Linked DNA regions of Arabidopsis thaliana. The protein of the gene in region 2 interacts with the protein of the main gene of each other region in a pairwise test. Each region holds a gene or a part of one and is shown on either strand. Other genes may lie near its edges. The genes, in order: MYB32, AT1G06170 and DYT1.

Region 1 (4,097 bases), on a different chromosome or scaffold from region 2:
AAATAGCTTTATTCAAGTTGACATAAAAGAATTGTTGTTACGTAAAAGAAGTGTACTGTATTTTAACAGAATGTGAAATCACCTAACAATAACTTATATAAGAAACTAAAAGAAAGAAACGCATGTCTTCTAAATTTGGCAAGAACGAAGGTTTTGTAACTTGTAAGTAGTTTAAATAAATAAACCATACATTTTTAATAATTAGGAAATATATGTTACATGTTGCACTTTGTATACATTCTAAAAGTCGTATAATGTACCTATTTTTTTAAGATTTGTTTGGTGTGTGTGTAGATAACAAATCACATGTCAATTCTATCCCATTTCTATTTTCTTCGTTATTAAATATACAAATATGTCGGTAGGAGTTCAGAGTAAATGTACACCATGAAATCTACCAAACTCTTTTAAGATTGTCTTTCAGGTATCAAACAAACTTTCACCAATAAAGCTTTTTCCCTTTTCCAAATAAAGAACTCCAAACAAGAATAAAAACCACAATCATTATTCGATATGTTTTTATCGATACTTATTTCAAAATATCCCCTTACCTATTTACAAAAGCATTTCACGAATGTTTTTCTTAGAGTCGTCGTATTTTCATATATACTGATATTAGCTTAATTAGCTCGTGATGACAGCAAAATTCTTGAATATTTTGTAGGCCATGGTCTTTGTAACTTGTCAAGAACATAGATACGTCGGATAAATTCATAGATATCAATTCAAATGATAAGCTAGCTTACGAAAAGCGTTTCTCAAGAAACTATGATTTTTTTCTAAGAATTAGTTGGTCGTTACGATAAATAAGAAACCTTGAATTGATGGAAAAGAAGATAAGGAATTAATTAAGAGATTGGTAAAATGGTAGTTGAGAAAGTAAAAAGGTCACGTGTTAGGGCAAATCATTAATGGAAGAAGGAGAAAGCAGGTAGAAATGCACTCTCCATTTTCATTACATTACAAACTCCACGTGAGGTTTCACCGATTGTAGGAACTCCTGATTTTGTGTTAATTACTCACAAGTAATTATCATATAGCGCGTAGCTAAATATTAGTATAGGATGTAGGTTTTACTTATATAATGCTATATCTCACTACTTTGGTGAAGAGAAAATGGATATTAAAATTTAAACGGTTGATACATTATCTGAATAGTTCTTATATATACGAAACGATTTGTTGAGATATGTTTTAACACTTCTTAAAGGAAGTAGGATAAAGTGGAAGGTCACGAACCACTCCCCATATTGCAGCCAAATCTACACCAAACCGTACCCAAAAATGAAATTAACTTTCCCTCAAAACCAACCTTGTTTGTGTCTTCTAGATTAATCCTCCAAACTTTTGATTAACCAAAAAAATTATCAAACTAACATGTTCTCCTTTTTTCTTTAGAAATTCTAACGAATTTATCTTTATACTGATTTGAATATACTTAATTTGGTCATTTGGATGCCCTTTACAACCTCCTTACCAAACTCACTATGGCAAATATATACTATTTTCCATTGTAACATAAATGTCCATAATTTGAATTAAATTCGTTGCAGTACGAAACCATCCAACTTTGTCCAAAAACAAAATCCTTATAACTATTTACTTTAATGTAAATATATCCTCTACTTTTGTTTTTACAACCCTAGCTCAAACAAATTTATTATTTGCGATATAAAATCATATCGAACAAACTCGATGATTTTTTTTTTCTTACGTTATTAATGAAACTAAAATATAGAAAAAAACAAGATGAACCAAATTTTCACCTATCTAACTACTTAAATATAATATGATTAAATTTGGTAAAGTTTGAAAAGTTTCTTTAGGAAATGTGAAATATTGATCACAGTTTCTATTGCTAAAATCACCAACAAAACGCATGTCGCCATTCATAATTATGGTTTCACACCTACAACTAGGCTAATAAGTAAATAAGTAGACAACTAGACTCAGGTTTGAAAAAACCATAAAAGCCATATAGCGTTTTCTCATTGAAACTGCGAACACGATCGTGTGAATGTTGCAGTTTCTAGTTTTGATACAAACAAACAAAAACACAATTTAATCTTAGATTAAAAAGAAAAAAGAGAACGGAGCCCACTAGCCACTCCTTCAAACGTGTCTTACCAACTCTCTTCTAGAAACAAATTAGGCTTCACCTTCCTCTTCCAACCTCTCTCTCTCTCTCTCTTTCTCAAACCGTCTCTCCATAAAGCCCTAATTTCTTCATCACAAGAATCAGAAGAAGAAAGATGGGAAGGTCTCCTTGCTGTGAGAAAGACCACACAAACAAAGGAGCTTGGACTAAGGAAGAAGACGATAAGCTCATCTCTTACATCAAAGCTCACGGTGAAGGTTGTTGGCGTTCTCTTCCTAGATCCGCCGGTCTTCAACGTTGCGGAAAAAGCTGTCGTCTCCGATGGATTAACTATCTCCGACCTGATCTCAAGAGGGGTAACTTCACCCTCGAAGAAGATGATCTCATCATCAAACTACATAGCCTTCTCGGTAACAAGTGAGTCACAAAACAACTCCTCTGTTTTTTTTACTATCCTCTGTTATGTTAAAAAGCTCTGTTTTTTAAACTCTGTTTTTTTTTTCTTCTATCAGGTGGTCTCTTATTGCGACGAGATTACCAGGAAGAACAGATAACGAGATTAAGAATTACTGGAACACACATGTTAAGAGGAAGCTATTAAGAAAAGGGATTGATCCGGCGACTCATCGACCTATCAACGAGACCAAAACTTCTCAAGATTCGTCTGATTCTAGTAAAACAGAGGACCCTCTTGTCAAGATTCTCTCTTTTGGTCCTCAGCTGGAGAAAATAGCAAATTTCGGGGACGAGAGAATTCAAAAGAGAGTTGAGTACTCAGTTGTTGAAGAAAGATGTCTGGACTTGAATCTTGAGCTTAGGATCAGTCCACCATGGCAAGACAAGCTCCATGATGAGAGGAACCTAAGGTTTGGGAGAGTGAAGTATAGGTGCAGTGCGTGCCGTTTTGGATTCGGGAACGGCAAGGAGTGTAGCTGTAATAATGTGAAATGTCAAACAGAGGACAGTAGTAGCAGCAGTTATTCTTCAACCGACATTAGTAGTAGCATTGGTTATGACTTCTTGGGTCTAAACAACACTAGGGTTTTGGATTTTAGCACTTTGGAAATGAAATGAAATGAAATACTATATTAATCAATTTATAGCTGTGAATTGTGATATAAAAGCTATTAACAGACTCGTTCATGGTTCTCAACTTTTCTAATAACTAGTAATTTTATTCATATCATAGTTGTTAGGATCTGTCGTCATATTTGATAATCTACTAAAAAGATGCGAAAATGTTCGCCATTTGTAAGTGTCGCATGGGTGTAATGCTTTGCTGACAAGACATATGCATTCAAATTCGATCCTTGGTATATTTCTAGAATTTTACTCGATAATCCAACCAATGTTTGACAAATGTATGTCGATGGTTATTCCCAAGAGATTGGACATATCAATGAAGTGGATAAGCTGTGTAAGGATGAGAAGCGTGAGAACGATTGAAAGTGTACATGTTTTCTATTCATTGCAACCTTTTGGCATATTTCGTTTGATTATTTTTAGTACTAATTCAAAGCATTCACTGTGTTGGTAAAATGTCTTTATCACATTAATGTGTTGTTCACTATATTAAACAAAAGTCACTCACCTTATTTCCAAAACTATACAAATATATACATATAAGAACTTAACTAGTGTGGTTTGGTTTTTTCCAAATGTTTGTTTATGTAAAACAACGGACATCAACCTAAAACTTTGGAGTTTAGTTTAGTATCAGGCTAGTGGGCATAATTAGGTTCTTCTACATGTGATAGTGTTAAAGATACGAAATTTCAAGAAATGTATATTGAGACATATATCAAAGATTGAACGATATCAAAATAGATATATGAGTTATATTGCTTTGACCTACTTGATGGATATTTTCATATATAATAAAGTGCAAAATGTAAACTCAAGATTAGGATAACCTATATGAGCAACAAAATATGGAGAGGAATTCTGTAAACAGTCCGAATTAGCTTTCAATGTATAGTTTGTACTTAAATTTTGGTGA
Region 2 (4,254 bases):
CCCGTCTAGACGTATTTGTTATCCACCTTGAATGACAAATGTAAAATGTACGATCCAATCATATTATTTTGATTTTTGTTTTATTAGATCAGATTAATATACACGTCATTGCTGATGTTTTCCTTGTTTATTTTATATTTATTACCCATCCGTTTATGTTTTTTTTTTTTGTTGGGGCAAAACAATCTGTTTCAGTATGTCTATCTAAATGTTATTTTGATAAAAATAATAATTTAAAAAGAATGTTTTTGATGTTTTCTCACACGAAGCAATCATTTTTCTTATTGGTTGGGCTACACTAACAAAACTATTGGGCTTTACCAGAAAAGGCCCAACCAAAAACTAACTATGAGCCGAAACGCACAGCTCTATTTAGCTGTTGGTCCGACGACCAAGAGTCAACAATAAGTTCAACGAGACATATGTTAAGCAGTTAAGAACAACAACAGTTTTAGATTATGGAAAAGATGGAACTCTCACATATAAAATCAAGAAAGTCAATCTAAGAAGTTTCGAGGGATATGATTGGAATATGTGATTAAACCAAAACAAGGAAAAAGTAAAAACAGAGGCATAGCTACAAGCTAAGAACAATAATACGAAAATATAACTAATGTGATTATTAATTATCCATATTCAAAGTAATAAGCCAGCTAGATGAAAACGCTTTAATCACTAGAGTAACAGTGATAACCATTATTCGCCGAAAGAGCTTCCATGTATTGTTTCTTCAACACTTCCATTACTCTATCTGCTATGGCACTTGCATAAACACTAGATCCTTCACTAATCTGTTATATCACAATTCGTTAGTTAGTCTAATAGTGTCTGACTATGGATTAAATTGAGATTTTATGACAAACCTTGGCGTTGAACAAGAAACTGTGGTGCTCTCCGATTTGTGCACCAGCTACATGGTGAAGATCAAGCTCAAGTTGGTCAACGACTTTGGATACGAACAACAAACAATTGATTTTCTTCTTCTGCACGATCTTGATGGTAACTTCATCGTCTATGATACGTACATCGACATCAGTGAATTTCGATTTCCTCTTGAGCCATGAGCATCTCAAGGCATTGTTCTTCTTATTGATCAAACATTGTTCTACTACTTCGCTTTGAGCCTTGAAGTTCTCATCAACAACATCATCTCCTTCTCTGTTCCTCTGTTTCACTCTCTTCTTTTCCACTAGCAGCTTGAACTCATCGATCGTCCTTAGCAACTCTTTGATGTAATCTATCGCTTCTCCGACGATTGATGCTCTATCATTCTAGAGATATAAGAAAAAAGGGTTTAATTAGTTTCTGAAGATTTCTTACTTGAAGAAGAAGTTAGTATTTAAGTAAGTGTAAACCTTGGTGGGATTTGGAATTAGATTCTTTAAGTCACCAAACCGGTCTTTGAAGTGAACTCTTCTCTCGCGTTCTGTAGGGAAAATTTTACGCTTTTTCGATCCTCTGCCTTTACGGTTAAGACCATCGTCGAGGTTGTTGTTTTCTTCATCATACATCAAGTTCACTCCTTGGTTAGTCTCAGTTTGATCTTGATCCACTCCCATGAAACTCCCATTAGGAGGCTGCAGAGGAAAATTCAGATGGAAGAGCGGGTCATAGGCGGCGACAGAGGAAGATGTTGTCATGATAATGTCTTGAATGCTAGGGTTTGCGAAAGGTGGAAGTGAGGATCTTGGCAATTGCAAGAGACTGAGTAGGTCAGGAGTGGTATGATTAGGACCCAAATTCACAAAATCTTGGTAACCATTGTCCCAATGATTCGACTGTTGCGCATACGATGGATCTTGGAGGGTTTGGTGCATTGAACTCTGGAATTGATGATCACAATTAGGAGTAGCATTAATGTGAAGCTGATGAGCATAAGCTGAGGCTGAGGCAGGTAGAGAAGAGTCTTGTGGGCTGAGGTGGAATGCAGAGAGATCTTCTAGACTGCAGTTGCTGTTACTGTTGCTACCGATGACCGTGATCGTCGGTGGTGGCTCGGACGGAGAGAAACTGCTCTCAGCAGTCATTTCTGCCGGAGCATTTGGATCAAAACACCCAATTTCTTCAAACATGCCTCCTCCTCCCATGAAAACCGGTCCAAAGGGCTAAGAAAGATGGTTTCAAAATCAGAAAACATTGACACAGTTTTGATTTGCTAGATTATATATTGAAAACTGCAACCTAATCTTGAACAAATCTGTTCTAACCAACTTAAAAATCGTCTAAGCTTAGATGAATTCTTGTAATGTATATCTAATGATCAGGTTATTAGGAATAAAAGAGTAAGAGAAGGGTATATTGTTACCGACTTGGCTGATGATGATTCTCCGAAGAACTTTTTCCGAATTCACGCCAAGAAGAGACTTAACATTAACAACTCTTTCTTTTTCTCTCTCTGTCTCTCTTTTTGAAATGCCTATACGTTTGCAATTTGAGAGTAACAAATAAAAAGAGTGGAAGATGACACATTTAACTTTTTTTTTTTGTATTAATAAAATACGTCTGTTATTTATTTGTGGTCTAACGGGGAACAAAAGTTTAATTTCAACAACTAACATTTTTTTCCTTTCAATATATTTTTTATTTTCTCAAAACGCTAGTGTTTTTTTTTGTTCGTACCGTAATATTCAAAAATTGAAAACTAAAGTTTTTTTTTTATCAATAACAATTAATGGTGGTACTCTGGACTGGACTTTGGTTAAAGTTCAGATTTTTTTTATGTGTGACAATACCTACTTTGATACATCTTACTGAATTGAAATATTTGGTTACCTTATTGGTAAAAGAAATAGTAATTTTATGACCTAAGTTACAAATTTGAGTTCTTTTTCTTTATAAGTTGCATCTTTTAGAGATTTTTTTTTTTAAGTTACATCCTTTTTAGAAACGAGGGTTTTGGTTGGATCATGAAATTTTTGTTTGTGGCAAGACAGGCCGGTGGTTAGTTACAGTCTGTAAGTTCCATGACGTGTCTCTCTTCGCGTGGGTCCCGTCACGATTCTCTCAGGTTTTGCCGTTTTGGTATATGATCTTTAGGGGTATTTCTGTCTATTGATTATATTTTCTCGGTAATATTACGCTTGATTTGAATCCTTCGACTATAATAGAGATTTTCTTAATTTCACTTTCACGTTCAAAGATTTTTTCGCATTGTCTTTTGGAAAAATAGCAGAGTTTTTTAAAAAATAAATAAGAAACGATACATTCAAAAAATATTATGTGAAGTTGAGTTTTTTTTTACATATAGAGGAAATAAAATTGATCATAGTCATAGACATAGAAATTTGTCAGTGGAATCTTTTCTATTAGGTCAAACAAGATTCAACTTTTAACATTTTATCTAGGACTTCTGAATTCTGATATACAATGATCGATGATATTATAAATAAGATAAAAAGGCTTTATTTGTATTATTTCCTTGTAAAGTAAAGTATTTCTTAATTTCATGTTTGTTGGGTCATGCAAAATATGTTTCCAAGGCAAGGTAGCGGATTTTTTGTGAAGAATATTAGCTGGGTCCCACGTGACACAAAAGCTATGCGGAAAAGGGTGTTTCCGTAAACTCACTTGAAAATTTCTGCTAACCAGTTTTGTCCGGTTAAGTTCATGTTATGTATGTTACAATTTGGGAATTGGGATTCAGTTAAACCGGATCAGCCGAAGACATTATTATATTCGTTTTGTAACTTTTTGTTTAGAGGGTGTCGAGTTAGGTTATCGAGCTGAGCTGTATATAAAAACATCTCAAACAAAGGTGAGGAGGGGATGCATTTGCAAAATGGAATTAAGGGGTGTTTCGTAATCGTGACAGTTACGTTTTTGGTTTCTCTCCTATGAGGCTTATTTTGGGCCTCAACAAGAAGTAGGCGTTTTAACACGTTTCGTCATCTAGAGCCAGATGAGAGGGCCTAAACCCTACCTGTGGCTGGTTATTTATTGCTTTAACTTACCCGACAGATGCGACTCAATTTGAAATATCTCTTTTGGGCCTACTGATCTTATTGACGAGAGGATTCATCACCCTTTTCTTCGGCCACTTGGAAAGATTATATAGATTGTATGTTTTCTCTTTTCATTTTCTATCCTCGTGAAGTTTTTATTTTTATTTTTTTATTCAGATTACGAAAATCTTGAGAAAAAGAATAAGACCCGGTGAGCGAAAGGAATGTGTGGCGATGGCGATGCCTACACAGCCGTGAAGCCGAGTCATCGATTATAAAATGAGATGTGTCGATGATAACATTGCTAGTATAA
Region 3 (3,004 bases), on a different chromosome or scaffold from region 2:
GTCAAGCTCAATATACAGGTAAGGAAGTATCTGCTGGTTTAGTTTACATTGAACACTATAAAACCGACACCTCTAGCATGCTGGGAAAAGTTGTCCTGACGTTTGTGAAAGAAGATTGGGAAATGGCAAGCGCATTGGCGACTACAACTATCAACAAGGCGGCGGGGCTGATCGTGGCACGAAGTGGTGATTATCAAAGTGATATTGTCTATAATCAACCATTCATCTACGTAGACTATGAAGTCGGAGCTAAGATTCTACGATACATCCGCTCGTCAAGGTATACTATCCTTTATTTTATATTTTTTGTGATTGATCATCCTTCCGAGTCACATAGAGTATGTAAAACTGATCATCTTCTTATGGCTTGCGGTCTCTTCAGTTCTCCCACGATTAAAATTAGTACTGGTAAAACGCTCGTAGGACGTCCTATTGCGACTCAAGTTTGCGGATTCTCATCTAGAGGGCCTAATGGACTCTCTCCTGCCATTCTCAAGGTTCTTTCCCTAAACAGTGTTTCAAAATCTTGTCTGTCGTTTCCAATTTAAGGATCACCTGTTAATGATGGAAATTTCTTTGGGTTTATAAATGATGCAGCCTGATATAGCAGCCCCTGGTGTGACGATTTTAGGAGCTACATCTCAAGCCTACCCCGATTCTTTCGGCGGTTATTTTCTAGGCACAGGGACATCCTATGCCACTCCCGTTGTTGCGGGGCTCGTCGTACTACTCAAAGCTTTACACCCTGACTGGTCTCCTGCTGCGCTAAAATCTGCTATTATGACTACAGGTTCTTGAAAATGGAAAACCACTTTCTTCTCCTCACCAGAAAACCACCATTCGTTAATTTAATCTTACCAGAGTTTCTTCTCTTGTTATTATAGCATGGAAGACTGATCCATCCGGGGAACCAATCTTTGCGGAGGGAGAACCACGGAAACTGGCTGATCCATTTGACTACGGTGCAGGACTCGTGAACGCGGAAAGAGCCAAAGATCCAGGACTAGTTTATGACATGAACATCGACGATTACATTCACTATTTCTGCGCCACTGGTTACAACGATACATCAATCACTATAATCACGGGAAAACCCACAAAATGCTCGTCTCCATTACCGTCTATCCTCGATCTTAACTATCCCGCCATCACGATTCCCGACCTTGAAGAAGAAGTGACCGTCACAAGAACGGTGACTAACGTTGGACCTGTGGACTCAGTTTACAGAGCCGTGGTCGAGCCTCCGCGAGGTGTGGAGATTGTTGTTGAACCAGAGACTCTAGTGTTCTGTTCGAACACGAAGAAACTTGGGTTTAAAGTTAGGGTTTCGTCGAGTCATAAGAGTAACACTGGTTTTTTCTTTGGTAGTTTCACTTGGACTGATGGGACTCGAAATGTTACCATTCCTTTGTCTGTAAGGATTCGTGTTTTGAACCCTTGAATAAGAAGATTCCTCAATTCGTCATAAATTGTTTTTTCTCTCTATAATGAAAACAAAAATTGTTATTTTAGTCTCTGTATTTGACTCTAACTGAAATCACATTCACTTAATAACAAACTGAGACTAAGATTCTCTCTTTTATTCTCTCTCCACTAACAGACTTCTATCTACATGAGAAGCAACTATATAACTCATGTCTTTTACCACCATTACATAAATAAGAATATAAACACTTTTGTCTGAAAAATTATCAAAGAAGAAGAAATAAATGGGTGGAGGAAGCAGATTTCAAGAACCAGTGAGGATGAGCCGTAGGAAACAAGTAACAAAAGAGAAGGAAGAAGATGAAAACTTCAAATCTCCAAATCTTGAAGCAGAGAGACGTAGAAGAGAGAAGCTTCATTGTCGGCTTATGGCTCTGCGATCTCATGTCCCCATTGTCACCAACGTAAGTCCCAAATCTCGATTATTATTTTATGGGTATTTTGGTGATGATTGTTGTTGTTTTTGTTTCGTTTTCAGATGACTAAAGCAAGTATTGTTGAAGATGCGATTACTTACATAGGAGAGCTTCAAAACAATGTTAAGAATCTCTTAGAGACATTTCATGAAATGGAAGAAGCTCCTCCTGAGATTGATGAAGAACAAACGGATCCAATGATAAAACCTGAAGTTGAAACTAGTGATCTTAACGAAGAGATGAAGAAACTCGGAATCGAGGTTTTTAAAATTTCTCTAATCGATTTTTGATTCATTTTCTTTATCTTTCTTGATGATTTTTTATTTTTGGGACAGGAGAATGTGCAATTGTGTAAGATTGGGGAGAGGAAGTTTTGGTTAAAGATCATAACAGAGAAGAGAGATGGGATCTTTACTAAATTCATGGAGGTTATGAGATTTCTCGGATTCGAGATTATCGATATTAGTCTAACAACTTCAAATGGAGCAATTCTTATTAGTGCCTCTGTTCAGACACAGGAACTCTGTGATGTTGAACAGACAAAAGATTTTCTTTTGGAAGTTATGAGAAGCAATCCATAAGTATTAATTATATACATCTTGGAAATTTCTTGATCTAATAACATTTCCATTGGTTTTTATTACATTGTTGTTCCATTTTAAATATGATATGATTCAGATGAAAAAGAGTTTGTGTTACAAGCCAATGAGCTTCTTCTTGTCTTCATATATGTTGCTGCAAAATGTTCATGATCCTCTGTTTGAGGTCAAAGAAAGAAAACACTAGATATTATCTCTAGGATCCGAGCAATGGGGGTTTCTTTTTAAAATGGGCTTAGAATGAATTAGCTCTTAAATGGGCCATTCTCAAGTTGAGCCCATTTAATTTCAACCATCCAAATGGTGAGTAGTGAATAGTGATGTTCATTTGTGTAAGGTTGGAAGTTGGTAGAAACCTAAGTTTTTTTATTCAAATATCAAAACTATTCAATAGAGCCAAAATCAAAAGACATTTTCCTAACCTATTAACTATTTTTTTATAAAAATAATAATATACCTTTATCATCTCTGACTTTCCCTACTCCACGACATATTTGATTAACA

The links.
Region 1: the proteins of AT1G06170 (region 2) and MYB32 interact in binary tests that used the Arabidopsis thaliana proteins (3 or more experiments, as listed by UniProt).
Region 3: the proteins of AT1G06170 (region 2) and DYT1 interact in a two-hybrid assay, tested with the Arabidopsis thaliana proteins (one study listed by BioGRID).

Annotation. Positions count from the first base shown.
Region 1 is NC_003075.7:16,660,445-16,664,541, reverse strand, and holds MYB32 (myb domain protein 32), read left to right. Parts: upstream 1-1,992; 5' UTR 1,993-2,252; coding exon 2,253-2,515; intron 2,516-2,610; coding exon 2,611-3,172; 3' UTR 3,173-3,441; downstream 3,442-4,097.
Region 2 is NC_003070.9:1,884,478-1,888,731, forward strand, and holds AT1G06170 (basic helix-loop-helix (bHLH) DNA-binding superfamily protein), read right to left. Parts: upstream 2,428-4,254; 5' UTR 2,310-2,427; intron 2,248-2,309; exon of another isoform or gene 2,106-2,247; 5' UTR 2,088-2,105; coding exon 1,356-2,087; intron 1,272-1,355; coding exon 864-1,271; intron 792-863; coding exon 669-791; 3' UTR 514-668; downstream 1-513.
Region 3 is NC_003075.7:11,348,213-11,351,216, forward strand, and holds DYT1 (basic helix-loop-helix (bHLH) DNA-binding superfamily protein), read left to right. Parts: upstream 1-1,709; coding exon 1,710-1,889; intron 1,890-1,963; coding exon 1,964-2,161; intron 2,162-2,236; coding exon 2,237-2,482; downstream 2,483-3,004. UniProt on the Arabidopsis thaliana protein: Transcription factor. Involved in the control of tapetum development. Required for male fertility and pollen differentiation, especially during callose deposition.